7 linked regions of the Callithrix jacchus genome follow. The protein of the gene in region 7 interacts with the protein of the main gene of each other region in a biochemical or structural test. Links are inferred from orthologs where the notes say so. Each region holds a gene or a part of one and is shown on either strand. Other genes may lie near its edges. The genes, in order: MEX3C, NHERF1, MAGI3, RPL27A, DNAJA1, PRDX1 and PTEN.

Region 1 (4,013 bases), on a different chromosome or scaffold from region 7:
CTCTAGCCTGGGCGACAGAGTGAGACTCTTGTCTCGACAACAACAAAAATAATAACCTCTAGAAATTATAGCCATTGCGTGAGATTACCTAACAATACTGTGGGAAGAGTGTCTAGAGAGGAGGAAACGGGATTCACTTCCTTTAATAGCCCCAAAGGTCCGCGCGCGGTAGCTTACGCCTGTCATGCCAACACTGGGAGACCGAGGCGGGTGGATCACTTGAGGTCAGGAGATGGAAACCAGCCTGGCCAACATAATGAAATCCCATCTCTACTAAAAAGACAAAAACTGGGTGGGCGTGGTGGCGTGTGCCTGTAGTCCCAGCTACTCGGGAGGCTGAAGCAAGAGAATTACTGAAACCCGGGAGGCGGAGGTTGCAGTGAGCCAAGATCGCGCCACTGCACTTCAGCCTGGGCTTCAGAGCAAGACTCCTTTTCAAAAAAAAAAAAAAAGCCCCAAAGGACCGAAGTTCAGCATCTCCAGGCTGCTGATGTAACCACCCTGCTGGCAGGGTGGGAGGGCCGGGCCCCGTGGGAGGAGCATTCCTGGGTCCGAGAGGGAAGGCCTGGGAGCCACGCGGCTCAGAAAACCGCCCCCGCAAGGGGATAGGAAGATACTGCGCGGCCCCTCCTTCCAAGACTCTCCTTAGGCCCTTCCTCAGAAGGGCGCGATCTCTTCCTCAACCCTAGGAAACAGCGCCCTAAAGCCTGCGCTAGCGGCTCTGCTCCAGGCTGCTCACACAGTGCCTTCCCTAAAAGAACGCAGCCAGGTGGGCTACAGTGTTGGGAGAAAATAAATCCAGGTGTGCGCTTCAACCACACGTGCCCTAGCCAAAACCCCGCTCAGCCCCTAGTTTTAGCCTCTGCAGCAGCGCCTTCTTCCCCCTCCTTTTTCCCGCCCCCGCCAGGGACGTCACAAAGAGTGACATGTAAATCTAACAATCATAGTCCCTCTCCGCGTGTGCCAGGAGGGACTGGAGAGGGAGGTGGGCGGGGAGAGGACGAAAGGAGTAGGCTTCGGGAACTGGCTGGTCCCGGTCACCCAATCAGAGAGTTCTGGGGAGGGGAAGGGCGGGGCCCGAAGGAGGGTGGGGGGTGGGGCTGGGGAACGGAGTTGGAAAGCTGAAGGAGGAGAAGGCGGGCTCCCAGTGATTAAAAGCAGCCAATCAAAGCGCGCCGGCTTCCTTCGGAGAGCGGCGTGGGGCGTCGCCGCCGCCGCCGCGCGCGCAGGGGGCTGGTTAAGGCCATGAAACAAAAGAAACCCTGAGAGGGGAGCCGCTGCCACCTCCACCAGCCCGCCCCGCCGCCGTCCCCACCCACCCACCTAGTTACCTACCTCTGCCTCCTTCCCCTGCCCCTCCACCCCGCCCTCTCCGGTCTCCGGGCGGCCCTGGCGCTCCTCGGCCTGGGTGCCCAGCCCCGCCGCCTCCCCAGAGGAAAGGTGTTTGCGCGCTGAATAGGGCCCGGGCCCTGTCCGCCATGGGGCTCGCCGCCCGCCGCGCCTGACCTGGCCGCCGCCGCCGCCGCCGCCACCATTGACAGCGCGCCGCCGCGATGCCGAGCGGCAGCTCCGCGGCCCTGGCCCTGGCGGCGGCCCCGGCCCCCCTGCCGCAGCCGCCCCCGCCGCCGCCGCTGCCGCCGCCTTCGGGCGGCCCGGAGCTCGAGGGGGACGGGCTCCTGCTGAGGGAGCGCCTGGCCACGCTAGGCCTCGACGACCCCAGCCCGGCGGAGCCCGGCGCCCCGGCGCTTCGGACCGCGGCGGCGGCGGCGCAGGGCCAGGCCCGGCGGGCGGCCGGGCTGTCTCCAGAGGAGCGGGCTCCGCCCGGCCGGCCCGGGGCCCCGGAGGCGGCCGAGCTGGAGCTGGAGGAGGACGAGGAGGAGGGGGAGGAAGCGGAGCTGGACGGAGACCTGCTGGAGGAGGAGGAGCTGGAAGAAGCCGAGGAGGAGGACCGGTCGTCGCTGCTGCTGCTGTCGCCCCCCGCGGCCACCGCCTCTCAGACCCAGCCGATCCCAAGCGGGTCCCTGGGGTCTGTGCTGCTGCCAGCCACCGGCTTCGATGCCCGGGAAGCGGCGGCCGCGGCGGCGGGGGTGCTATACGGAGGGGACGATGCCCAGGGCATGATGGCGGCGATGCTATCCCACGCCTACGGCCCCGGCGGCTGCGGGGCGGCGGCGGCCGCCCTGAACGGGGAGCAGGCGGCCCTGCTCCGGAGGAAGAGCGTCAACACCACCGAGTGCGTCCCGGTGCCCAGCTCCGAGCACGTCGCCGAGATCGTCGGCCGTCAGGGTGAGTGCAAGGGTGGGGAGGTCCAGCTGGGCATGGCCCCGGGCGTGGGTGGGGAGGCGAGGGAAACGAGCGTGTGGCGGAAAAGGCGAACCCGGCGAGGCCCCCACGTCCACGGCGAAGGGGTCTGGGAGGAGCCGAGGGTCGACCAGATGTGAAGATGGGTCACCTTGTGAAAACCCACGCTTTTCCTCTTGTTTCGTCGGGTAAAAAGTGCGAAGTTTCTCGGCGACCCAGTCCAGTGGTGTTCACGTTACTTGGGCTGTATTCGTGGAACACCAGGCTGGCATGGCACCAGAAACCTGTGAGGTGGTAAAAGGACGGGCTCTAGGAGTTGTGGGCTCGCTGTTGGGTATGGAAAGCATCGAGATTGCAAGTTTGCGCTGCCGAGTGTCTCCTAAAGCGCTCAGCCTCCCTTACGAGAGAGAGCTTGTTCAGATGGAGAAAAGGACAGAAATGGAGGCCTGTAGACAGAGCTCACCGAGGAGGGAAGGGATGTTTAAATGGTTGGTATCACCGCCATCCCCCGCGCTCCTCCGCCGTTCAGAAACTTAGCTTTGGAAAAGCAGCCCAACTCTGCCGCCGGTCTTACTGTATTCCTCTCGATAACGTTTTAACCCTCCGAAAGACACACTGGCTATCTTTTAGAACCGTTCAGTGTGCAGGATGAAGAAAAATTGGACAGTAAGGTAATTAAGAAACTTTATGCGTTTATACAGTTTTCAGTTAATTCTCTTCTTGCCAGCACACCAGTACTGCAGACAGACTCCTCCCACATTGTTCAGACAAAGGACCTGTGTCTCAGATTCCAGGAGTAGATTTGCGAAGGTGGGGGAAGGGGATGCCGGGGGTACCTCTGTATCCGACATTTTTAGGGAAGGTCCTAAGCTCTTTATGGTAGCTTTTTCCCTTTTATAAAAGGGGCAGATGTTACCTGCTGCCACCTCATGACAATATGGTTTAGCCTGGTTGATGCATGCCTCTTTACTGTTAGGTTGAGAGCATTGTTAGGGTCAAATAGAGATGATGGCGCTGCTGCTTAAATGATCTCATCTTTCCCAAGTGGTCTAAAGTGCACACAAATAAGAGGTTTGTCGAAATGGTGGTTTCACATATCAGAGTTGGCTCGTTTCTTTCTTATCTGTAGGATTTTAATAAAAACTCATCTGAAATCTGGAAAAAGGAGATCATTTCAGACTGCCTGATGATTGGCACTTTAAAGACACTGTTCAAAGCAGGACCTTTCCATTGAAAGGTTTATGCCTGTCGCTGTTCTGGTTAATGAGTTTCAAATACCTGGTTTGTTTGGTTTTGGCGATACTTAGGGTAATAATCCAGGAGAAAACATATTTACATGGGATAAAATGACAACATCTCAATTTGGATCAGAATGAGTTGACCATTCATGTAAGAACATTGAGGAATCCCTGTACCAGGCTTGTATTTTGCAGCGTATTGAGTTTGTGGTATTGAGTTGAGAATGTGAAGTTAATTAAGACTTTCTGCCCTTAAGAAGATAACAGTCTAATAAACAGTAGAATGGCACTAACTATAGTGTATTTAGTGTGACAGTCTCAGGTAAAAGAACATCTACCCTGAGGGCCTTGGAAAATGGGTAGCAAAAACAAATGGAAATTGAAAAACAGTGGAGGAACAATGAATGTGAGGAATGGTGTGGAGGACTGACCTCTAGGTATAAGTGGCAAGTAGTGTTATTTTGATACTTGAGA
Region 2 (2,167 bases), on a different chromosome or scaffold from region 7:
CAGTGGCCAGATAAGATAGAGCATCTGGTACCAGCCCAGCCTGCCCCTGGGAATCCTGCACCCCACTGGCTGTAAGCAGAGTAAAGCCATGTCCTCATATTCCAAACCCAGATCCATTCTGAGACTCACTTTCCTCGCTCCTACGATTATAAGAACTTCCTAGAGTCCTCTGAGCACGTTGGTCTGAGTTCCCACTTTCCCTGGTAAATGTCGCCATTGGGGGTCCTTAGCTCACACTGGAGCTTGCAGCCTGGCACACAGGCACACTGACCACCAAGCTGAACACCCTGCTGGGTGCATCCTTCCCACAGACTTCTGCACAGCTAGGCCCTCTAGCTAAAGCTACTCAGGCTTGGGGTCACAGGGAGCCCTAGATGGCCCTCTCTTCAGTGTACCCCACCCTCCAAGGAACACCCTGGCTTGCCATTTCTCGCTTTCTACCTACAAGGGGTCCAAGGCCAGAGGACAAAACTCCCAAGGAAGACACAGAGGCTGAAGGGTTTGGAGGAACCAGCTGAATTTCTCAAAGTGTTTCCTTACAATGGTGGTGCCTGGCTCAGGGATGGGCAGGGGTAGCCAGACCCTTCCCCCTGCCACCCAGTTCTCTGAGGGTGGGAGTAGGAACAAAAGTTTAAGGCTGAGGCCATGGCCATGCCCTGGATGCAACAACCAGGAAAATCATGTTAATCAAGGAAACAAAAATTCCTCTAGACTCTGCAAAAATACTGCACTCTTTAAACAACAAAAATCAAATGAAAACAAGATACGTCAGCCACAGCTCTCAGGATAATGGATGCCCTGTCCACTGCGAGCTGCAGTTGCTGCAGTCAGAGTTCTTTGATCAGCCCTGAACCCAGTTATCACATGGGGGTGGAAGGGAAGGTGCCCTTTCATCTGGTCCCATGATCCTGGCTTGGTGTAGGTCCCAATGATGTCCCAGGCTGGGTGGCAAAGGGACACCTGGTAGGATGAGGCACTCAGTGAGGAGGAGGGAGGCAGAGTCTGCTTTCTGATTGGGGAACAGGAACACATTCACCTTCCCTAAAGTAAGGGAAGAACATCGTTCTCTAGAAAAATCATTTGTCAAGAAAGGGGATGTGGGTGCTGATTTGTATGTCGATTCAAGGGAGTAACGGGAGAGAAGGAAAAAGGTGGGGTGGAAGGCTGGCTTGGCCCTGCCAGTCACTGGGTGGCTGGCAGCGGGCGCTCAGAAGTTGCTGAAGAGTTCGTTTTTCTTGCTCCAGTCCATCTGCGGGGCCCGTTTGCTGCTGCGCTTCTGGTGGGCCCTTTCTTTGGCCACGGCCAGGGAGATGTTGAAATCCAGGATGGGGTCAGAGGAGGAGGTAGACGAGGGCACTGTGGAATCCTGTTTTGGGGGGCTGTCTTGGGAATTCAGCTGGAGAGAGAGGGGGGGCAGGAAGTTGGGAGTCAGTCCCTCATTAGGCTCCCTGGTCCTCAGCCTCAGTGAGGTGGCTCCCTTGGGGCAGTGCCCAGGGAAGCCAGGTCACAAGAACAGAATGCGGCTCAGCATGTGACTTCAAAGGCAGGCTGGTGTGCCAGGAACAAGTGGGGCCTGGGAATCGGCTTCCTGTAACCCAGTTGCCACCCCCCACATGGCTGGCCTACCTCCTCGCTGGTGTCACTGGAGGCAGTTCTCACCAGGGCTGGCCTGGGGCTCTCCAAGGCTGCCTCTGCCAGGGCTTCACGACTGTTCTCCTGGCAGAGAGGAGAGGGGTGTGGGTTGTCAGAGGGTGGGGTGTGGGGGTCCTGAGGAGGGAAGTAGGGGCCTCAGTCTAAGAGGCAGCGCTGATGTCCTGGCCCCACCCCCGATCCCACTGCCTGAGCCTGCTGGGGCTCCTTTCACATTCCTTGGAGGATCAGAGGGCAGCCTGGTTCTCCTTCGGAGGCTGGAGGGGTGTAGACCGTCATGGATTGGCTGAACTGCTCCCCTCCCTGGCCCTCTCCAAAGTGGCCTTTAGGTACTGACTTGCCTGTTGGGCCAATGACCAGGGAGGGGCTTCTTGGAATGTGGGGACACTGGGGGTCTCTTTGCTTGGCATGGGGAACCCATGTGGTGCTCCCTGTATATCCTGTGATCCACTTGACTGTTCCCCTGGATTTGACCCCAGGAATCCTGAAACCCTAACCTTGAAGCAGCAAAGGAGGG
Region 3 (3,730 bases), on a different chromosome or scaffold from region 7:
CTATATAAATAACCTATCCTTCATGTATGAACAGATGTCTAAATACATCTGCCTTTATAGAAATATGTTATAAACATATACAGGCTGTATAAAATACTCATAAGCTTTTTAAGCAGTCAGTACAATTCAGATGGCTGTCAGAGTTCAAAATGTATTGTGCCTATTTCTAATTCTAAAATTTAATGTTCCATTCAAATCACTTTTTTAGGTGATTGGGAAATTAATAATCCTTTATCTTCAAATGTGATTTATGATGAACAGTCACCATTACCCCCATCTTCACACTCTGCTTCCATATTTGAAGAGTCTCACATGCCAGTAACTGAAGAATCTTTAATGAGAGTTCAGATATGTGAAAAGGCAGAAGAATTAAAGGACATTGTGCCTGAAAAGAAAAGCACTTTACATGAAAATCAGCCCGAGGTAAAGCATCAGTCTCTTCTCCAGAAAAATGTGAGTAAGAGGGATCCACCCAGCAGTCATGGGCACAGTAACAAGAAAAATCTATTAGAAGTAGAAAATGGTGTTACCAGAAGAGGTAGATCAGTTAGTCCCAAAAAGCCAGCCAATCAGCATTCAGAGGAACATTTGGATAAGATTCCTAGTCCTCTAAAAAATGACCTCAAAAGAAGACCCAGAGATCGATCCCTCAGCCCCAGCAAGGGGGAAAATAAAAGTTGTCAGGTCAGCACCAGGGCAAGGTCTGGACAAGATCAGTGCAGAAAAAGCAGAGGTCGGTCTGCCAGCCCGAAGAAGCAGCAAAAAATTGAAGGAAGCAAAGATCCAGCAAATGCTAAGGCCAAATTATTAGAGGGTAAGAGTCGAAGAATAGCAGGCCGTGCAGGCGATAATGCTGAGGAGATCCCAGATGGGAAGGAAAAGTCAGGCGTCATCAGGAAAGATGCAAAGCAGAATCAGCTGGAAAAAAGTAGAACAAGGTCTCCAGAGAAAAAAAGCAAAAGAATGGTTGAGAAGTCTCTTCAATCCAGAAAGACTAGTAACACTACAAGTAAAGTAGTATCTGAAAATGAAAAAGGAAAGAAAGTAACCACAGGAGAAACAAGTTCTAGTAATGATAAAATAGGAGAAAATGTCCAGATAGCAGAAAAGAGGCTGAAGCAAGAACCTGCAGAGAAGATAGTTTCAAACAGAATAGAAGATCACAAAGGGAGAGAACTAGAGGCAGCTGACAGAAGCAAAGAGACTGGAAGATTCAAACCTGAAAGTAGTTCTCCAGTTAAGAAAACACCGATAACTCCGGGGCCCTGGAAGGTGCCGAGTGGAAATAAAGTCGCAGGCACTACTGGTGTGGCTGAGAAACGGCAGTAACCTTTAGTATAAAACAAAGAAACACAAGTTGTAATCTTTTCTTACAGCAGCATTTTTCCAGAAAAAAAAAAAAAAAAAAGCCTTTTTCTTTTCAGATATTCTGAAACAGATAAGTACATGTTAATGTGAGCATCAAGTTACCTAGGCTGCATGAAGGGCCTTAGGATTGCTAAGAACCAACTGTCCCCCTGGCTGGCTGTCCTGCCTTGCACTCAGGAAGGAGCTGCATCCACATGCTCATCTGATCCGCCCTGCTCAGGCTGCCCAGCTCGTCTTAATGAGTGTCTGAACAAATGTTGATATTAACAGTGTGGTCACAACTCACTTTGTATTTGTGCCAAGTTATCTACTGTATCATGTCTGTTTTTATCCTCGTTCAGCTATTTCCACAGTAAAGAACAAGTTAGGTTTGGCTTGGAAGTTGATGTCCTCAATAGCATGTTGCATGTTTACAGAGAGAAATATTTGAGTCCTTGCAGAGGAAGAGACTGTCAACTCACCATTAAAGATGGCACTTGTCTCTTCCAACAGCTACTGATGATGTCCCAGTTTAAAAATAAACCCCCCAAACATCACTAACTTCACAGGAAAAAAAATGTAGTCCAATACTGATGCTTTCTTATGGCTTTATTTTAATTTGGCTGGATAAGTTGTTTCAAGTAAGTGTTAAAGATAGTACTTACAACTGAATGTTTGAAATGAGAAAGTACTTAAAGCAATAGAGTCCATCTCCTGCTGTGTTATCCAACATTGATGTACAGTTACGGCATCTCAGGTCACCCTTTTTATTTGTTATTTCATTATGAAACCATAAAGAAGCATGTGGAAAATAGTGTTTATTGCTCTTTGAAGAAAAACCACCAACTATTTCTGGATATTTTGGCTTTACCTACTACTAAAGTCATTAGTCTTTAATACATAATGCATATTTGAAAAGGAAACATATACATCATGTGAGGGACTTAACCACGAAACCAGTTTCACAGTCCAGGTACCAACTCTTCTGGTAGCAGGTGTACAAGCTTGGGTGTTTAGAGCAACCTATGTAAGGTATTACCCAGCAAGTAAGGACAAAAGTGTAGACAGTACTTACTGGATCTTATTTAACTTTTAGCTACATTAACTTTCTTACTTAAAAACAAGAAAGGGAGACTAAACATCTGCTTAGCTTGTACACATTTTCAGAATTCTTTTAAAAAGTCTAGTTAAACGTGTTTCTTAGAAGTTGGAGACTGTTAACTTCCGTAAAATAGATCAGGTTTTTCAGTTCCCTGAAGCAGCATTCAGTAGCATCTATAAATAAAGGCACCTTCTGAAAATAAAAAACTCTCTTATGGAGTGTGTGAACACACTTGTTCTGTCACCCTGGGTTCATCTTGTTGTGAAGCACATTATGTCCAGGTCCTTCCCTCTGGGAGTCTGACTGTGAAACTCTTTAACCCAACAACTGTATTAGCCCCTGTAGATAAGACATGCTTCCCAGAGTGAGATTTTTGAAATCCCTTTTCATCCAGAACTGTATTTACACACCTATTGTAACTATTCAAATAAAGCAAAATTATTAGGAGGCTTGATAAATACTAAGAATTTAGTACCACAGAAATTATTTATTTTCCCTATAGTCCACAGATAGTGATAACAAATCCTATTTTTGTTAACGGTGACATAACTTTGATGTCCTATGTTGTCCTATGTGGCTCTTCCTTTCTAAGTAACCTCTGTACTGACTATATACTGACTTAGCAATGTGGCCTTGGAATGCTGAGCAAAATATGGATGTACTGGTTGTAAATGTTTATATATTGTACAGTACCTTTATATATACACTTGAGGTTCTGATTAGAGAAAGATCTGTAAATTGCTCGTTATTTTTTATATAGATATTAAAAAAAAAAAGCAGTTCATGGCCTGCATTTCTTTTTTACCATCAGATTGGTTTAATGTTGCTTTCTGATAGTGGAGCTAGATCCATCACAGACTGAGCCCTCAAATAGATTTTCTCTCTCCAAGTTACAAACATTCAGAGTCCTAAAAATCAGGAAGACGTTTATAGCTATACTTGTATTTACACATAGAGTTTGAAATTGTTTAGAGTTGAATATCATTATACCCATTTTTCATCTTTCATTGTAAAGAAAATAGCTTTGGATAGATAATTTGCTACTAAAAAAAATCCTTTCTTAACACTATTGGGGAGAGAAAAAAGTTTCTTACTGGAAATTCAGCTACTAGACATTTATAATGGATATAGTAACATAAGCCCAGTTACCACAAGGTCACAAAATTCCATTTCATTAGACTAACAATTCACATTATTTTTAAAGGTCATTTAGTTTTATACTTCTTAGAATGAAGTGTTTTTATTTAACTCTATATGAAAAATACCTAAAACCTACTTCAA
Region 4 (4,300 bases), on a different chromosome or scaffold from region 7:
CTGAAAATAAGTTACTCTTCAGACTAGGTAGTGATATGGAAAACTGCCATGGTATTAAATAAAAAGGAGAATACAAAGGGATTTGCATACTACGATCGTTAACTTTGCAGACAGCTATGTCTCCATGTATATAAGGGTTGAAAGGTGAAAAGAAAACAGCATCGTGGTTTTCTTTTGATTTCAGTTGTTTATACTTATATTTTTTTCAAAATTTTCTTTAATGCTGTACTTTCTTTTCTTTCCTTTTTTTCTTTTTTGAGATGGAGTCTTCCTCCTGTTGCATAGGCTGGAGTGCAATGGCGCAACCTTGGCTCACCGCAACCTCCGCCTCCCAGATTCAAGTGATTCTCCTGCCTCAGCCTCTCGAGTAGCTGGGATTACAGGTGCCTGCCCCCACACCTGGCTAATTTTGTATTTTTAGTACAGATAGAATTTCTCCATGTTGGTCAGGCTGGTCTCGAACTCCCGACCTCAGGTGATCTATCTGCCTCAGCCTCCCAAAGTGCTGGGATTATAGGCATGAGCCACTGCACCTGGCCAGCGGACTATTTTCTATTATGTCTAATTTTTCAATTCTTTCTGAAATAAATTGGGATTCCTGAGTTTTTCTGTAATTCTCACTTGGAAAAAAAAAAGCAGAAACACTGCTTCTTCTCATCTTAACAGTGTTCTACTTAAAAAAGAAAAGAAATATATTTCCAAATTTCCACTCTAAAGATGGAGAGTAAGAAAACAGAGCTGGATCCATCCAGGACATTGCTGCTATTTGAAGGACTGATGTCGAATTCAGGAACCCAGCAAGGAGAGAAAGGAAGAGGGACCTGGTGATGCTGTGTTTCCAAGGCCACCTGGGAAGAGGCCTGTGGCAGCAAAAAATCAGCACACTTGCCTGCCACACCAGGCTGCTGCCTGGTGTCATCTCTTCTGTTCATTTCTCAGGGATTTTCTGAGGCCCTCATGCTCTGAGGAGGCCCAGATGCCTGAGATGTCACAAGGCCATGCTATACTTCAGAAGAGATGTCCCAGATGACCCCTCAGGAGTCATGGCCAAGGGTCATGACCCATGTGCCTAGTTGGGAGGGACAGGTCACCTAATGCCAAATATCTGGCTGCTACTCTACTTTGCAGATAGAGAACTTTGTCTGCTCTCTCAGACCTCTGTCAACCTAGGAAAAGGCATGCACAATGAACAAGCCCCACATGAGCTGTGGTTTAAGTCACCTGGTTGCCTTGTGAAGGAGAGGGAGCTGGATAGAAAACTGGGTTGAGCCAGACAACTACCCAGGGTACTCCCTCTACAACCAGGAGATCAAACCATTGATGAGAAGAATGTTAGGTGAGCACATAACCCAACAGGGAGTGCTGGGTCCACTCTGGGAGGCCTTCTGTTCAGCTGGTGGCCTGAGGGACAGAATGTAGCTTCTCCATAACCAAGGAACCTGGCAAACTATCCGGAAAGAGTGTCTCAACACCCAGAACCCCACCTCAACCCTTGCTGTCATGGTCCTCACTGTAGGCCCCAGCTCTAATACCCTGATGGTTGCCTTCCATTCCCAAGGCTCTGTCCGGCTTACCTCCATTGACAGATTATCTTCCAAGGGTAGTTTCCAGGTAGCCGAGCTCATTTGTGCACTTACTGGCCAGTGTTGATGACAAATGGAGGATGATCTCTTCTTTGACCTCGCCTCCTACTCTCAAAACCTCTCTTCCTGCTGGAGTCACATGCAATATGTGATTAAGGTTGAAGGAGAAATGAAGACCGTAATTGCTGTGAGATCAGAGAGGGAGTGGTCACTGAGACAAAAGCAGGGGATCTGAAGAGAGAAGACGAAAGGCTAGGCCCAGGCTCTGTATTTGACAATCTATGCAGCATCTGGCAAGTCACCCAGTTCTTCTGTGCCTCGGTTTTATCACCCATAAAATGAGGCTGGCAGTGCTGAACCCTAAGGCATATGCATTTTGTAAACTGCAAAGTGCTCTGAAAATGTTGGCCGTTATCCTTGTGGACTGAAGTGTCCTGGGAAGAAGCAGAATATAAGGTGGGTCTCAAAGGCTGAGGAAGATTCAAGACACGTGGTCAGTAAGAGGATGGGCACTCCGGAGTGGCAAATGGCATGAGCAAAGGCAAAAATGCAGATGGGATATAGCAAGCATCACTGCAGTAGAAAGCTTGTGTAAGGGAGAGGCTGAATTAAGGTTGGAAAGGCATGTGGGCTATATTCTGTTGGTCATAAGGCGCTATTGAACTTTTGATCAATTAAGTAAAAGAATGAAATTCATGTTTTTGGAATAATAACCTGGTGGAGGTGTGAAGGATGCAAAGATTGGAGGAGGGTTAGAATGCAGGCAGAGTGAACAAAGGAAGGTGTTGTAAACTCCAGATCAGAGAAATGATGAAGGCCTGAATGAAGGCAAGAATACTAAGGCTTAAACAGAGGAAGCACACTGGAAAGATATAGATACAAAAGGATAGAGTGGCAGTACAGTAGAAGAGAAGGCTTGGGGACAATTTTCATTATCTAGGTGGACAATGGTGCCACTCACCAAGATAAGAGAATAAAGGAGAAGGCACCAGTGAGCAGGGAAGATTGAGTTCTTTGATATGTTTACTTTGGTAGAATGTCCAAGGAATACTAACCAGTAACTAAGTGATCATAAGGGTGCTGAGCTCAGCAATAGGGATGTGAATGGAAGCCACCCAAGAAGATCATGTACTGTGAAAAGGTAAGGACAAGAACAGAAGGCTGAGGAACATCAACATTTAAATGGTGGACCATGCTGGAACCTGCAAAGACTGAGAAATGACCAGAGTAGGAGGAAGGCGAGAATTTCTCTAGAAAAAGATGCCAACAGATTAAAGCACAACAGAAAGAACAAGTGGTATGAAGAATAGGAAAAATTCAATTTGGCAATTGGTTCATTAATGACATTAGTAAGAACAATTCCATTGAAGTTGCAGGCTGCAAGCTAGATTGCAGTAAACAATGGATGGGAAGGTGCAAATGGGCAGGATTTGTGGACTTTCGGGAAACTTTGCTATGAAGGAAAGGGCAAGGGTAGTAGAGACATGGGAGAGTTTAGGCTATTTTAGCTAAAATATATTTTAGCTGAAGGGGACAAGACAAAGAAAAAATAAATGCGGCCGGGTGCGGTGGCTCAAGCCTGTGGTCCCAGCACTTTGGGAGGCCGAGGCAGGTGGATCACGAGGTCGAGAGATCTCCCGATCCTGGTCAGCATGGTGAAACCCCGTCTCTACTAAAAATACAAAAAATTAGCTGGGCATGGTGGCGCGTGCCTGTAATCCCAGCTACTCAGGAGGCTGAGGCAGGAGAATTGCCTGAACCCAGGAGGCGGAGATTGCGGTGAGCCAAAATCGCGCCAGTGCACTCCAGCCTGGGTAACAAGAGCGAAACTCCGTCTCAAAAAAAAAAGAAAAAATAAATGCACACACATATACAGAGAATAACTAAGGTGATGGGATTTTTCCCATGGGATATATTAACAGACTAGTGAGGGTATGGGATCTTGAACACTAGTTGAAGGAACCGACTTAAGGCAGAAGATATGCTATTAGTGAAGACAGGGAGGGGAGGGTAAGTTCATTTATTCACTCGACAATCACTAGTTGAGCATGGAAAAAAGCAAACAATTCTTGAACACATAAGGAATTAGGTCTAGTAGGGAAGACAAACATAGGTCAATAAATTACATAAGAGCTGTACCAGATTGTGTTCCTTGTGTGGTGGTACAGGAGGGGAAGTGAGCAACTATGTCTGCATTGTCCAGGAAAGGGTCACAGGCGTGTTAGGTAGATTCTGGAGAAAATTCGATTATGGCATTTACTTTTACTTATTTACTTTGTATGTAGAGACGAAGGTCTGACTATGTTGCCCAGGCTAGTGTTGAACTCCACGCCTCAAGCAATCCTCCTGCCTCAACTGCCCAAAGTGTTGGGACTACAGGCGTGAGCCACCGCGCCTGGCCTAAATGCAGCATTTAGAAAAAGTATTTATAATGTCTGGGTTTAAAGGACTATAAAGCGACCAACAGGCATCTAAGTCCCTGAAGCATAGCAAGTTGCTCAAACTTGAAAGGACAACCAAGATGACAGCAGAAGAGCAAAAGAGAAAGGAAGCCGAAGTGCCACTCAGGAGGGTGGGAGGGGGAGGAGGCATTTCGGGAGCCGCCCGAGACTTAGGAAACTGAGCGAGACACCAGGTGGGCACATTGAGGGTTAAAGGGCCTCGTGGTTCCGCACGCGGCCGGGAGACAAACTAGCAGCCACTATCACCAGCCCCGG
Region 5 (3,993 bases), on a different chromosome or scaffold from region 7:
CCTCCCAAAGTGCTGGGCTTACACGCGTGAGCCACTGCGCCTGGCAAACTCCACCATTCTTGGTGCTAGATACTGATATATCTGTTGTGGTCCTAAATAAAAAGGCGGACCCCAATTCCCATTAAACACCCGTGGTATCATTTTAAGGTCCAAGGGCTCACGTTGCAGATTGTACATCCAGGTTCACTGACCCCTATAATGTGAAAGTCAGGTCAAATAATTAAATTGTTTTCGCCATCTTGCTGCTACTCTGTAGCCTGAGTGAAAGGGTGAAAGCCTGACCAGTGGAGTCCACGGCCTACTGTGCATCAAACGTGGTTCAAAGGTTTCACTGCTCAGCTCAGTCCCAGACTCTCTGCTCTAAGCTGCAGGAGTCAGCGAGGTCCAGGGCAGATAACATGTGTCTAGGGGCCTGGACTTGCACAAAAAGCCCTAATAACTTAGCAATTTGCTGAATTATGCTATCTTGGACCGCGCGTGAAAAACAGCAAGACCCAAGGCCTATGCTACTGATCTGGGGACTAGACCCACCTGGCTCGGCATTTCTTGCTCAGCGGGTTCCCTGGCAGAGAAAAAGGCGCCAGCAGAAGGGTGGGAGCGGGGCAAGACTTTGTTCCAATAGCTTCCCCAATCACATAAAACTCCCGATGGGTCACTGTACTCGAGCCCTTCCCGCCCTCGCGGCCGCCCCACTGATTTGGGAACCCTAGGACTTGCACTGCTCCCGGGCCATGGCCCAAAAGCCGAAGGCTTCCGCACTCCCGGGCTCGCTGACTGGAGGAAAGGGCTCCAGAAGATTCCACGAGCGTCGGGAAGCCGGGCTACCACCCACCCCCGACAAGGCCTTTCGGCGCAGCTCCTCCCGACCCGTGCGCCCCCGCGCCGTTGCCCAGGTAACCACGGGGCGGTGGCAGCAGCGAAGAAGGGAGGGACTTCCGGCGAGTGACGCGCCAGGGTTCGGCTACAAAAGACGACGGCTGCAGCGCGCCGGGAGGAACTTTCCAGAACGCTCGGTGAGAGGTGGAGGAGCGGTAGCTGCCCGAGCTGCGCACAGCTCCGCACAGCTCTGCGCTCCTTCCCGCTTCCTCACACACCGACCTCAGTCCGCTCACCGGTGAGTTTGAGCCCTCGCGCTTCCCCCAGTCCCTTGGCTGGCGCCATTGGCGCCAGGAAACCGGATGGAGCCGCGGTCGAGAGGCCGTTGGCCGCGTGGGCAGGAGCGTTATCGGTTCCTGGTCCCACGATTTCCCTTTAGGAGGGCTGATGTACCCTGGCAACCCATCCCCGGCACCACCCACAGTTAATGGGTCCAAGACCTTTCCTGGACCTCCCTCCCTACCCAACCTTGGATCTCGGATGAGCTGCTGCGTTCGGCTGCCCCTCCGTGCGCGCTCCCGCGGCCCCCCTCCCCGTCCACGCTCGTTTGGCCGGGGGGGGGGGGGGGGGGGGGCGACCCTGCGCACGCGCACTGGGAGGCAGGGGCGAGGGGCTGCGGGGGGAGCCGGGCGGAGGCCGCGGCTTTCGCTTTTCCTGTCTCCCCTCCCTTTCTTTGTTGAGGGCTGGGCTTTCCCCTCCGCCACTTGGATCCAGGGTGGGAGGGAGAAAGGAAGAAAACCTTAACGGTCGCGCCAAGTGCAGGGGGAAAGCTGGTAGTTAAACTCTGTCGGCCTGAGGTGCGAGAGGGGTTCGGCCGTGAACGTGGAGAAGCTGTAAGCCGTGGGCGGTAGGGGGCTTGCTGTGTGGAGCGGGTAACCGGTTTTATAAACCACTTCCCCCGCCACTGTGTGCCCAGATAGTTGGCTTTTTCTGGGGAGTATGTGGAGTTTATCAGATTTACCAAAGACGGTGATAGTGTAATGACCAATAGACTGAATCTATTAGTGCCCCTTTTGATTACAGCTGTCACCAACTCTAGGGCAAACGGGAAGAATCCAGATAATAGTTGTGTTCTATTAGTATGGAAGCTTTGGTGTGGGAGAGTGGGAACCAGCTGCTAGAACACGGCTCTTGAATTATTTTCTGATAATGATTATTAGATTGTTTTGTCTGTTCAAATTTATAGCTGAATCGCAGGAATTGTTACCTTTTTGGTGAAATTTAGGAAGGGGGTGTTCTTACAATCGGATTTGGCAAAGAGCAGATTGCTCGGCCTTAGCTCTCATTTTTACTAATTAAAACTGCCAGTTAAAGTTGCATTTTCTTATTTCAGGCAGTAGAAGATGGTGAAAGAAACCACTTACTACGATGTTTTGGGAGTCAAACCCAATGCTACTCAGGAAGAATTGAAAAAGGCTTATAGGAAACTGGCCTTGAAGTACCATCCTGATAAGAATCCAAATGAAGGAGAGAAGGCAAGTAGTACATACTCTTAAACATACCTGAATAATAGTTCTTTGTCAGATGTGTAGTATTTCTATTAAGGCCTGAAATTGAGTGTCTAATATAGTAACTATGATCCTTTCTCTGCCTTTTTAGCTAAGATAAGTGTAATATAGTGGCTAGGTAATACCTGTTTTTTAAAAAAAAAATGAAATTCACTCCTCTTTTCTCAAACAGTTTAAACAGATATCTCAAGCTTACGAAGTTCTCTCTGATGCAAAGAAAAGGGAATTATATGACAAAGGAGGAGAACAGGCAATTAAAGAGGGTGGAGCAGGTGGCGGTTTTGGCTCTCCCATGGACATCTTTGATATGTTTTTTGGAGGAGGAGGAAGGATGCAGAGAGAAAGGAGAGGTAAGAAGAAACTAGTCCTTATGCAGCTAATTAAAAGTAGCTGTTGGTCACAGCAGATCTTTGAGAAATCACCCATTTTAAATGCGTGTTTACGTGGTATAATGTTGCAGACTGACCATAAGCTGCCTCTGATTTATGGTGTCTTTTTTTAAAAATGAGATTTAAGGGATATAAAAAAGAGCCAATCGAGTGGTAGCAAATGACTGCTTCCAGAAATCTTAGATATTATCAAACATAAATTATGAGAACAGGCCGGGCATGGTGGCTCACACCTGTAATCCTAGCTCTTTGGGAGGCCGAGGCAGGTGAATCACCTGAGGTCAGGAGTTTGAGAGCAGCCTGGCCAAGGTGATGAAAACCTGTCTCTACTAAAAAAATACAATAATTAATGGCTGGGTGCTGTGGCTCATGCCTGTAATCTCAAAACTTTGGGAGGCTGAGGTGGGTGGATCACCTGAGGTCAGGGGTTCGAGACCAGCCTGACCAACATGGTGAAACCCCATCTCTACTAAAAATACAAAATTAAGCAGGCACCTGTAATCCCAGCTACTTGGGAGGCTGAGACAGGAGAATCTCTCGAACCCAGGAGGTGGAGGTTGAAGTGAGCCAAGATTGTGCCACTGCACACTGCCTGTACAACAAGAGTGAAACTGTCTCAGAAAAAAAATTACAAAAATTAGCCAAGCGTCATGGCACGGGCCTGTGATCCCAATTACTTGGGAGGCTGAGGCAGGAGAATCACTTGAACCTGTGAGGCAGAGGTTGCAGTGAGCTGGGATTGTATCATTGCACTCCAGCTTGGGCAGCACAGTCCATCTCAAAAAAAGCAAATTATGAGAACAAAGTATAGCAATATAATTTTCAAAGCCCTTTTTACAGATCCTATTTGATGTTCCATCATGCCCCAAAGGAATTTGATGGTAGATACAGTGGTCTTTTTCAAATGAAAGTGAGTTAAAGTTCAGAAACCTAAAACTTCTTCAAGCTTATATGGCAAGCCAAGAGAGCAGGGCTGAAAACTGGCTCATTGCCTGCCACCGATCTAATCTTGCTTCAGCTTTATTGTGTCAAAATATATGTATTTAATATATTTATCAGGAAAGTGGTCTATGGGCTCTAGAAATACTGCTCATAGGTAGGAATAAAGTGTTCAAGAGAAATTGGTCTCACTTTATTCCCAGTATAGCGTATACAAACAAGGGCTGATGAGCAGACCCAGTTTTAGAATGAATGGGCAAGCCATTAAGTTTCACTTTGAG
Region 6 (3,951 bases), on a different chromosome or scaffold from region 7:
CACGCCTTTAATTCCAGCACTTTGGGAGGCTAAGGCGAGCTGTTGGAGACCAGGCTTTGGAAACCAGCGTATCCAACAAGGTAAAATTCCATCTCTTCTAAAAATACCAAAAATTAGCTGGGCGTGGTGACGGGTGCCTGTAGTTTCAGCTACTCCGGAGGCTAGGCGGAAGAATCGCTTGAGCCTGGCATGCGGAGGTTGCAGTAAGCCAACACCCGGTCACTGCACTGCAGCCTGGGAGACAAAGTGAGTGAGACTCCGTCTCAAAAAAAAAAAAAAAAAAAGCGTAATAGAACAAACTTTAGTTTTAGGAACTAGACTTTAGATTGAAGATCTAGTTACAGTTGACACGTCCTTGTTTTATGGGAGGCTATAACGGTTTCCAGGGTAGCAAACAATTATGAATGATTTTGTGAGTGTGTTTGTCGGGGGTAGTCATCAGGAAATGTCTGAGGCCTTTTGCCTAACCGTGTGTGATGGATGGCTAATGTGTGATGTTTTGACCCAAGATTGTAAAGTCAGTTATTCATCCGTAGAGAGGATGGTTGTGTACCTGAGTCAGCCTCCCAAGCTGAACTTTCACAAGTTTAGGTGTCCTCAGACTTTATTTTCCTTTACAACAGAAAGCAGCAACCCTGTAATCAAAGTGAACAGTGAAGGAAACGATGTAAGCTATGAGGGTTACTCAGGAGTTACTCAGGATCTGAGGTGGGGTTAAGGTTGCGAATTTAAGAAATATTTGGATATACAGTTCTCAGGGCTTGGTATGGTTCGACGTGGTCCTCCGTGGGCAGCAGCTAGGAGGCTTACTCCGGGTTGGGCATTGAGGGTACAGTGCGCAGTGGTCCTGGAAGTAAAGAGAATCCTGGTTTTCCGCAGAGATCTAGGATCAACCTAAACGTTTGGGTTTGGGAGCGGCCACAAGGGTGCCTCACTCCAACCTCTGCAGTCCGCAGTAGGGAGGGGGATTAGCATTTCCGCGCCCGCCCCCAAGAGGGAAAGCGCCGAGTCATTCTGGCGGGGCGCGCCAGGGTGGGGCGGGGTTCCTGCCACATCCCCCTCCCCTCTCTCCTCCTCCTGCACCCCCGGCCTGCTTCGACTCTCGCGAGAGCCGTAATAGCTATAAAGGCTGCGCCTCGAGCGAGTTTTGCGCGTCCTCTTTCTGTCCGGTGGTTTGTTCTCTGAGGCTTGTGTCAGGACTGGTGAGTGTGAGCGGCGCGGCCTTAGCTGAGCGAGGTGCGGCGCGTACTTGCCTTTTGCCTCTTCCTCCTCCTGTCCGGGGCCCGTCTGCGCTCGGCTTGGGGTTCTGTGGTGCTTGAGGGAGCGGGGGGAGGCCCGGCGCCCGAGACTGCCTGAGCGCTACGTGCACCCCTCACGTGGCCCCCCCGCGTAGGTGGGGGCACCTGGTTGAATCCCAAGTCTAGCGTGGATGCTAGTCGAGTCTTACCCCGGCAACCCGAGCACGTGAAGCGGCATCGGGGCGGGCTGGTGGTGGGGTCTCTAACTCTAGCTTCCTGCTGGGCTGGGTGGGTTCGGGAAGGTTCTGGAATGGACCTGTGTCCGGACTAGTGGCTGTAGAAAACAGCCTATACTTGTCTATCTTGTGATAGGGTAAAGGCTGTTCCGGGTCCTGAGCCTTGACTAGATTCGGAGTTTCGGGTACTTTCCCCATCTTTATTTTCTTGTACGTGGAATGGAATTAAGAGCCCAAATGCCCCCGCTGAAGCACTCTTTCTGCTGGTGCTTTCCCTGTGTTGGGTGTGATAGAGCCGGGTACCTGGAGTTTAGGGGTGTGGCCCTCGGCACTGAGCAGATCCCCTGAAGGGACCCGGCGCCGCCCGAAAACCCAGCAGCCTTTACCCAGAATTGGTTGGGTTTTGGACTTTCGGGCCAACTGGGAATGTAGGTTTGGACAAGAGGCCATTTATAGGGTCACCAAGTTGCAGTATGCCTTAGTTTTTTGTTTTTGTGTTTTGTCGTTAAAGGTTTTAAGGACTTTTTTTTTTTTAGGCGACTTTTAAAAAAGCAGTAAAAAGTTGGCTAAGATCCTTGCTCACAGAGTTTCTTTTGGTTGTGGTATTATGAACCAAGAACTTTGGGACTTTGAGAAAACTTTGAGACCGAGGCTTAGTGGGTTAAATCTCTGGTTTTTTTTTTTTTTTTTTCTTTTTTTGAGACGGAATTTCGCTCTGTCAGCCAGGCTGGAGTGCAGTGGTGCGATCTCGGCTCAGTGCAACCTCCGCCTCCCGGGTTCAAGCGATTCTCCTGCCCGAGCCTCCCGAGTAGCCAGGATTACAGGCTTGAGACGGGGCTCCCGGCCAAGATCTCGATACTCATCTTGGTGTTGACCTGGGTGAATCCAGCGCAACATTTCTTTTCAGCAGTAAATTTGTTCTTGTTCTTATTTTCGTCCTGTGATATTAGACCCGAAGTCAGAAACCCGTTTGTGAAGGGACTTCTCGGGTGTACACAATACCTAAAGATTTGAAATTGAGCAGATGCCAATATCTTGGTCTTGTCTCTTTTTTCTTTGTGTTTTTCTTTCTTTTCTTTTGAGATCGTGTGTTGCTCTGTCGCCTAGACTGAACTGTAGTGGCGCGATCTTGGCTTACCCTCGCGGTGGCTCGCTTCTGTAATCCCAGCACTTTGGGAGGCCGATGCGAGTGGATCACTTGAGGTTGGGAGTTCGAGACCAGCCTGAGCAACATGGAGAAACCCTGTCTCTACTAAAAATACAAAAAAATTAGCCGGTTGTGGTGGCGCATGCCTGTAATCTCAGCCACTCAGGAGTCTGAGGCAGGAGAATCGCTTGTACCCTGGAGGGCAGAGGTTGCCGTGAGCCGAGATTGTGTCATTGCATTCCAGCCTGGGCAACAAGAGCGAAACTACGTCTCAAAAAAAAAGTTGTATTGGCTGTAGGTGTGTGCTGTTTTAGACACAGCTACCTGGAGAAAAGTCAAATATGCTTCTGACGTTATGAAGGCTGGTGGAGGCCCAGTAATGGGAAAGGTCAACATGATTTTTTCCAGGCCAAACAAAAGCGTTTGTGGCATTGTGCATTTGGATTCTGGTTTGAGAGTCTTCACCTGCTCCATCTCTGCTTCTGTATAATGAGTAAGATGCCTGCACAAATCATGATTCAGAAAGAGTGAGAGGTGACTTCAGTATATGAAGAAATTGCCTTGCTGTTTTTAAATGAAAACAAAGGCCGAGATTCAGAGTCTTGTTTTGTTCCACAAGTTGGAAAGCTCAGATTGCTTGAGCTTCTTACTAATACAACATTTAACGTATTCAGGGACATACTGGACAATTCCTTGATTGTTCTACAGCTAAGTCTCTTAGTAGGTGCAGGCTGCCGGTTATCTAGAAAATTAAGGCTTGTTTCTAATTCATTTCTCTTTTCCAGCTGATAGGAAGATGTCTTCAGGAAATGCTAAAATTGGGCACCCTGCCCCCAACTTCAAAGCCACAGCTGTTATGCCAGATGGTCAGTTTAAAGATATCAGCCTGTCGGACTACAAAGGTAAAAGTAATTACACTGGGCTCATTGAGATGGAGTTATTTTATATTCTAGAAATGGCATGTTAGATCTGTGTCAGTGTTGTGTTTGACTGTAAAATGTTTTGTCTCCTAGGAATAAGTATTTTGGTTGTTGCCTTCATGTTGAAGTGAAGTGGTGATTAATCAAGTGATTACAGTGTATATATCCTAGGACCAGACCACTTCTGGAGAAACCACATGCTCCATTATGTTTGGACATACTAGTTCAGTTTTCTCTTGAGTATTCCTTGTCTTTTTATTTATTTTATTTTAATTTTTGAGACAGGGTTTCATTGCATCACCCCCCAGGCTGGAGTGCAGTGTAGCAGTCATGGCTCACTGAGGCCTCTGCCTCTCTGGGCTCAGCTGATCCTCCCACCTTAGCCTCTTGCATAGCTGGGACTGTAGGGG
Region 7 (3,500 bases):
TTAGGAATAGTTGTCTCTAACTTTACCAATTTAACTTATGAGCAATCAATCAATATATATCAATGTTTAAATATAAATGTGTAAATCCTAAGAGCTTTGTTAAAAATTTAAAAATTTTTGCATGAAACTGACGAGGTATGGAAAACATGTCAACATTATTTACTAAGAATATTTTAGATGAAGTTCTGCCTAATCTATTTGCCATCAAACTCTATAAATGTTTCTCTAGTAGGTCCTATTCAATCTGTATCTGTAAATTAACTAGGTCAGACCACAGCTAGTGAACAATTTCAGCACCAATAAGTTATTGAAAATGAAATTTTATACCATTAAGAAATATAATGGCTGGATATTCAAATGTCAAGGTGAAGGTATAATTTGAAGACACCAAATTTCTGGAAAAAAAAATCCTTTTTAATAGTATCTTCACATTAGCTTTACAATAGTAGTTGTACTCCACTTAAAATCGTATGCAGTCTGGGCATATCAAATATATGATATTTTTTAAGAAGTGAAATTGAAGCCCTAGTCCCAACTTGGGGTAGCACTATGAAGAAATGATTCAACACTGCACATTAAAAAAACCCCTATTCTTTCAATAGCAAACCAGTAAAGCACATGTAGGACAATTTCTACTGAAAAATCAAATGTCTTTTTTTTGTGCAGTGCTGAAAGTTTACTGCAACTCTGATTTCTTAACACAAATGTCCTTTTTAACATAAACATTATATGTATTCAGTATTCAAGTAAAATTCCCTAACAGTTAATGACATTTAAAAAATGTGCAAAACTGCAAAACTCATCGTAATAGAATGTGTAAGGTCAAAAGGGTGGAACGGCTGACAGCTATTGGATTGAATAAGTGCATCATAAATCTTCAAAGAAAAAAAAACACTTACTGTAGAATCTCAAATTGAAAATTTCTGTGCAGCATTACAAAATATTTTATATTTAATGAGAAAAAAGAAGCTTGCAGGCAGCACATGAAGCATCCACAGCAGGTATATGATTGGAAACTATTAAGTGTAAGTTGTTGACTGATGTGGGTACTAATAGCATCTGACTTTTAGCACTGGCCTTGATTACACAGGAGATGGAGCAGTCATTACAACTGAGAAAACATATTTAATAAATCATTGTCAATTTTTATGTTTCAAGCCCATTCTTTGTTGATAGCCTCCACATTTATATGGTTAAGTCATTGTTGCTGTGTTTCTTATGACATTTTTATATACCTTCATTTGTGGATCTTAAGATGTTGCAGAAGGTTCATTCCTGTACCCCAATACAGATTCACTTCCTTTAGCTGCCTTTTCTAGCACCAATAGGCTTTTAAAAAAATGCGCAAACAACAAGCAGTGACAGCGGCCAATTCCTCGAATGTCCAGATTAATAACTGTAGCATGCTAAAGAAAGGTGTGTGTAAATAGCTGGAGATGGTGTATGGTCCAGAGTCCAGCATAAAATGTATTTCCTTTCTGAGCATTCCCTCTAATCCCCTAACCTGAATACATGCATTAGAATGTAGCAAAACCCTTTGGAAACTTCTCTTAGCCAACTGCAAACTTATCTGTTGCCACAAGTGCAAAGGGGTAGGATGTGAACCAGTATATCACAAAGCTCTTTAGCCACTTCAGTTGGTGACAGAACACAAAAGGAAAAAATTCCTACGTATACACATCAGTCTGTCTCCACTTTTTATAAAACTGGAATAAAATGGGAAAGTGCCATTTTTATTAATTCTAATTGAATTTTAAATGTCCTTTTGACACAAAAAGGTATATACATGACACAGCTACACGACCTTTTTTCAACTGGACAACAAGTTGTCAAAACCCTGTGGATGTATAGGGTAAAACAAGATTGGTCAGGAAGAGAATTGTTCCTATAACTGGTAATCTGACACAATGTCCTATTGCCATTAAAAAAAAAAAGGTCCATTTTCAGTTTATTCAAGTTTGTTTTCATGGTGTTTTATCCCTCTTGATAAAAAAAAAAATTCAGACTTTTGTAATTTGTGTATGCTGATCTTCATCAAAAGGTTCATTCTCTGGATCAGAGTCAGTGGTGTCAGAATATCTATAATGATCAGGTTCATTGTCACTAACATCTGGTGTTACAGAAGTTGAACTGCTAGCCTCTGGATTTGACGGCTCCTCTACTGTTTTTGTGAAGTACAGCTTCACCTAGAGAAAGAAAATTTAAAATGAAAATCCACAAATATGACTCATCTTAAATTATTTAGTGAAAGGCATTTTTAACAGATTAACTTTTTTATTCCATTTTGCAGATAAACACACTAATTTTTAAGCACGTAACAAACATGATTTTTAAGAGGCCTTTTAAATGACCCTCTTCTTATTAAGATATTCAACATTTTCTTTCTTGCTAGGTACCAAAATTAACATACTAATAGACTATCAGGATGTTAATATTATTTATTTATTTGTTTTTATTTCTGGAGACAAAGTCTTGCTCTGTTGCCCAGGCTGGAGTGTAGTGGCATGATCTTGGCTCACTGCAACCTCTGCCTCCTGGCTTCAAGCAATTCTCGTGCCTCAGCCTCCTGAACAGCTGGGACTACAGGTGTGCACCACCAAACCCAGCTAATTTTTTGTATTTTAGTAGAGATGGGGTTTCACCATATTGCCCATACCGGCCTCAACCTCCTGAGCTCAGGCAATCTACCTGCCTCAACCACCAAAGTGCTACGATTACAGGTATGAGCCACCATGCCTGGCCTCAATTTATTTTTTAAAGAATATAAGCTGCAAACATTAACTAAATAATTCTACAAAATAAATGAAGATTGAAAGCTATCAATAGTTTACATAATATAGCCTTTCAATTATAAAATTCAATTCACAAATGGCTAAGTTCAAAAAGAATGTTTCTCTTACTAGTTACCTAAAAATCAATTCCTTCCTTCCCTCTCTTCTTTTTTCTTTTCCTTCCTTCCTTTCCTTTTCTTTTTTTTTCTTTTCCTCTTTCTTTTTCTTTTTGTTTTTTTTGAGACAGGGTCTTGCTCTGTCACCCAGGCTAGAATGCAGTGGCACCTTCACAGCTCACTGCAGCCTCGAACTCCCAGGCTCAAGTGACCCCCCACCTCAGCCTTCCAAGTACCTGGGACTATGGGTACATGCCACCACCCCCAGCTAGTTTACTTTTTATATATTTTTTTGGAGAGACAGGGTTTCACCATGTTACCCAGGCTGGTCTCAAACTCCTTAGTTCAGGTGATTTGCCTACCTTGGCCTCCCAAAGTGTTGGGATTTTAGGCGTGAGCCACTGTGCCCGACTTCAATGTATTTTTTGATATAAACACTACACACACACAAACTACTGATCAACACTGATATTTAGAATTTATGAGCCCTAAAAACTTCACCTAAAGGAAGGAAGGAGAGGGACAGTAACCTCATAACGTGGTCTAAACAGAGAGCCAAGGGCCTTTACATGCATAGTGAAAATAACTGTCAAAATAACCCTATATGTTAGGT

Evidence for each region.
Region 1: of the proteins of PTEN (region 7) and MEX3C, one has a biochemical effect on the other in vitro, tested with the Homo sapiens proteins (2 studies listed by BioGRID). The link is inferred for Callithrix jacchus from reciprocal best matches to the Homo sapiens genes PTEN and MEX3C.
Region 2: the proteins of PTEN (region 7) and NHERF1 form a complex in vitro, tested with the Homo sapiens proteins (3 studies listed by BioGRID and IntAct). The link is inferred for Callithrix jacchus from reciprocal best matches to the Homo sapiens genes PTEN and NHERF1.
Region 3: the proteins of PTEN (region 7) and MAGI3 form a complex in vitro, tested with the Homo sapiens proteins (2 studies listed by BioGRID and IntAct, with this or other methods). The link is inferred for Callithrix jacchus from reciprocal best matches to the Homo sapiens genes PTEN and MAGI3.
Region 4: the proteins of PTEN (region 7) and RPL27A form a complex in vitro, tested with the Homo sapiens proteins (2 studies listed by BioGRID). The link is inferred for Callithrix jacchus from reciprocal best matches to the Homo sapiens genes PTEN and RPL27A.
Region 5: the proteins of PTEN (region 7) and DNAJA1 form a complex in vitro, tested with the Homo sapiens proteins (2 studies listed by BioGRID). The link is inferred for Callithrix jacchus from reciprocal best matches to the Homo sapiens genes PTEN and DNAJA1.
Region 6: the proteins of PTEN (region 7) and PRDX1 form a complex in vitro, tested with the Homo sapiens proteins (2 studies listed by BioGRID and IntAct). The link is inferred for Callithrix jacchus from reciprocal best matches to the Homo sapiens genes PTEN and PRDX1.

Annotation. Positions count from the first base shown.
Region 1 is NC_133514.1:94,394,947-94,398,959, reverse strand, and holds the start of MEX3C (RNA-binding E3 ubiquitin-protein ligase MEX3C), read left to right. Parts: upstream 1-1,213; 5' UTR 1,214-1,553; coding exon 1,554-2,286; intron 2,287-4,013. UniProt on the Homo sapiens protein: E3 ubiquitin ligase responsible for the post-transcriptional regulation of common HLA-A allotypes. Binds to the 3' UTR of HLA-A2 mRNA, and regulates its levels by promoting mRNA decay.
Region 2 is NC_133506.1:130,704,070-130,706,236, reverse strand, and holds the end of NHERF1 (Na(+)/H(+) exchange regulatory cofactor NHE-RF1), read right to left. Parts: intron 1,768-2,167; coding exon 1,627-1,767; intron 1,397-1,626; coding exon 1,208-1,396; 3' UTR 501-1,207; downstream 1-500. UniProt on the Homo sapiens protein: Scaffold protein that connects plasma membrane proteins with members of the ezrin/moesin/radixin family and thereby helps to link them to the actin cytoskeleton and to regulate their surface expression. Necessary for recycling of internalized ADRB2.
Region 3 is NC_133508.1:151,644,627-151,648,356, forward strand, and holds the end of MAGI3 (membrane-associated guanylate kinase, WW and PDZ domain-containing protein 3), read left to right. Parts: exon of another isoform or gene 1-208; coding exon 209-1,329; 3' UTR 1,330-3,230; downstream 3,231-3,730.
Region 4 is NC_133511.1:74,572,792-74,577,091, forward strand, and holds the start of RPL27A (large ribosomal subunit protein uL15), read left to right. Parts: upstream 1-1,500; coding exon 1,501-1,600; exon of another isoform or gene 1,601-1,693; intron 1,694-4,300. UniProt on the Homo sapiens protein: Component of the large ribosomal subunit. The ribosome is a large ribonucleoprotein complex responsible for the synthesis of proteins in the cell.
Region 5 is NC_133502.1:140,217,487-140,221,479, forward strand, and holds the start of DNAJA1 (dnaJ homolog subfamily A member 1), read left to right. Parts: upstream 1-1,455; intron 1,456-1,483; exon of another isoform or gene 1,484-1,709; intron 1,710-2,118; coding exon of another isoform or gene 2,119-2,162; intron 2,163-2,209; 5' UTR 2,210-2,219; coding exon 2,220-2,351; intron 2,352-2,556; coding exon 2,557-2,734; intron 2,735-3,993. Other genes in the region: uncharacterized protein LOC128932268, read right to left, coding at 822-1,455, 2,119-2,162.
Region 6 is NC_133508.1:82,247,095-82,251,045, reverse strand, and holds the start of PRDX1 (peroxiredoxin-1), read left to right. Parts: upstream 1-1,151; 5' UTR 1,152-1,236; intron 1,237-1,376; exon of another isoform or gene 1,377-1,659; intron 1,660-3,406; 5' UTR 3,407-3,417; coding exon 3,418-3,523; intron 3,524-3,951. UniProt on the Homo sapiens protein: Thiol-specific peroxidase that catalyzes the reduction of hydrogen peroxide and organic hydroperoxides to water and alcohols, respectively.
Region 7 is NC_133513.1:80,559,128-80,562,627, reverse strand, and holds part of PTEN (phosphatidylinositol 3,4,5-trisphosphate 3-phosphatase and dual-specificity protein phosphatase PTEN), read right to left. Parts: intron 2,187-3,500; coding exon 2,001-2,186; 3' UTR 1-2,000. UniProt on the Homo sapiens protein: Dual-specificity protein phosphatase, dephosphorylating tyrosine-, serine- and threonine-phosphorylated proteins.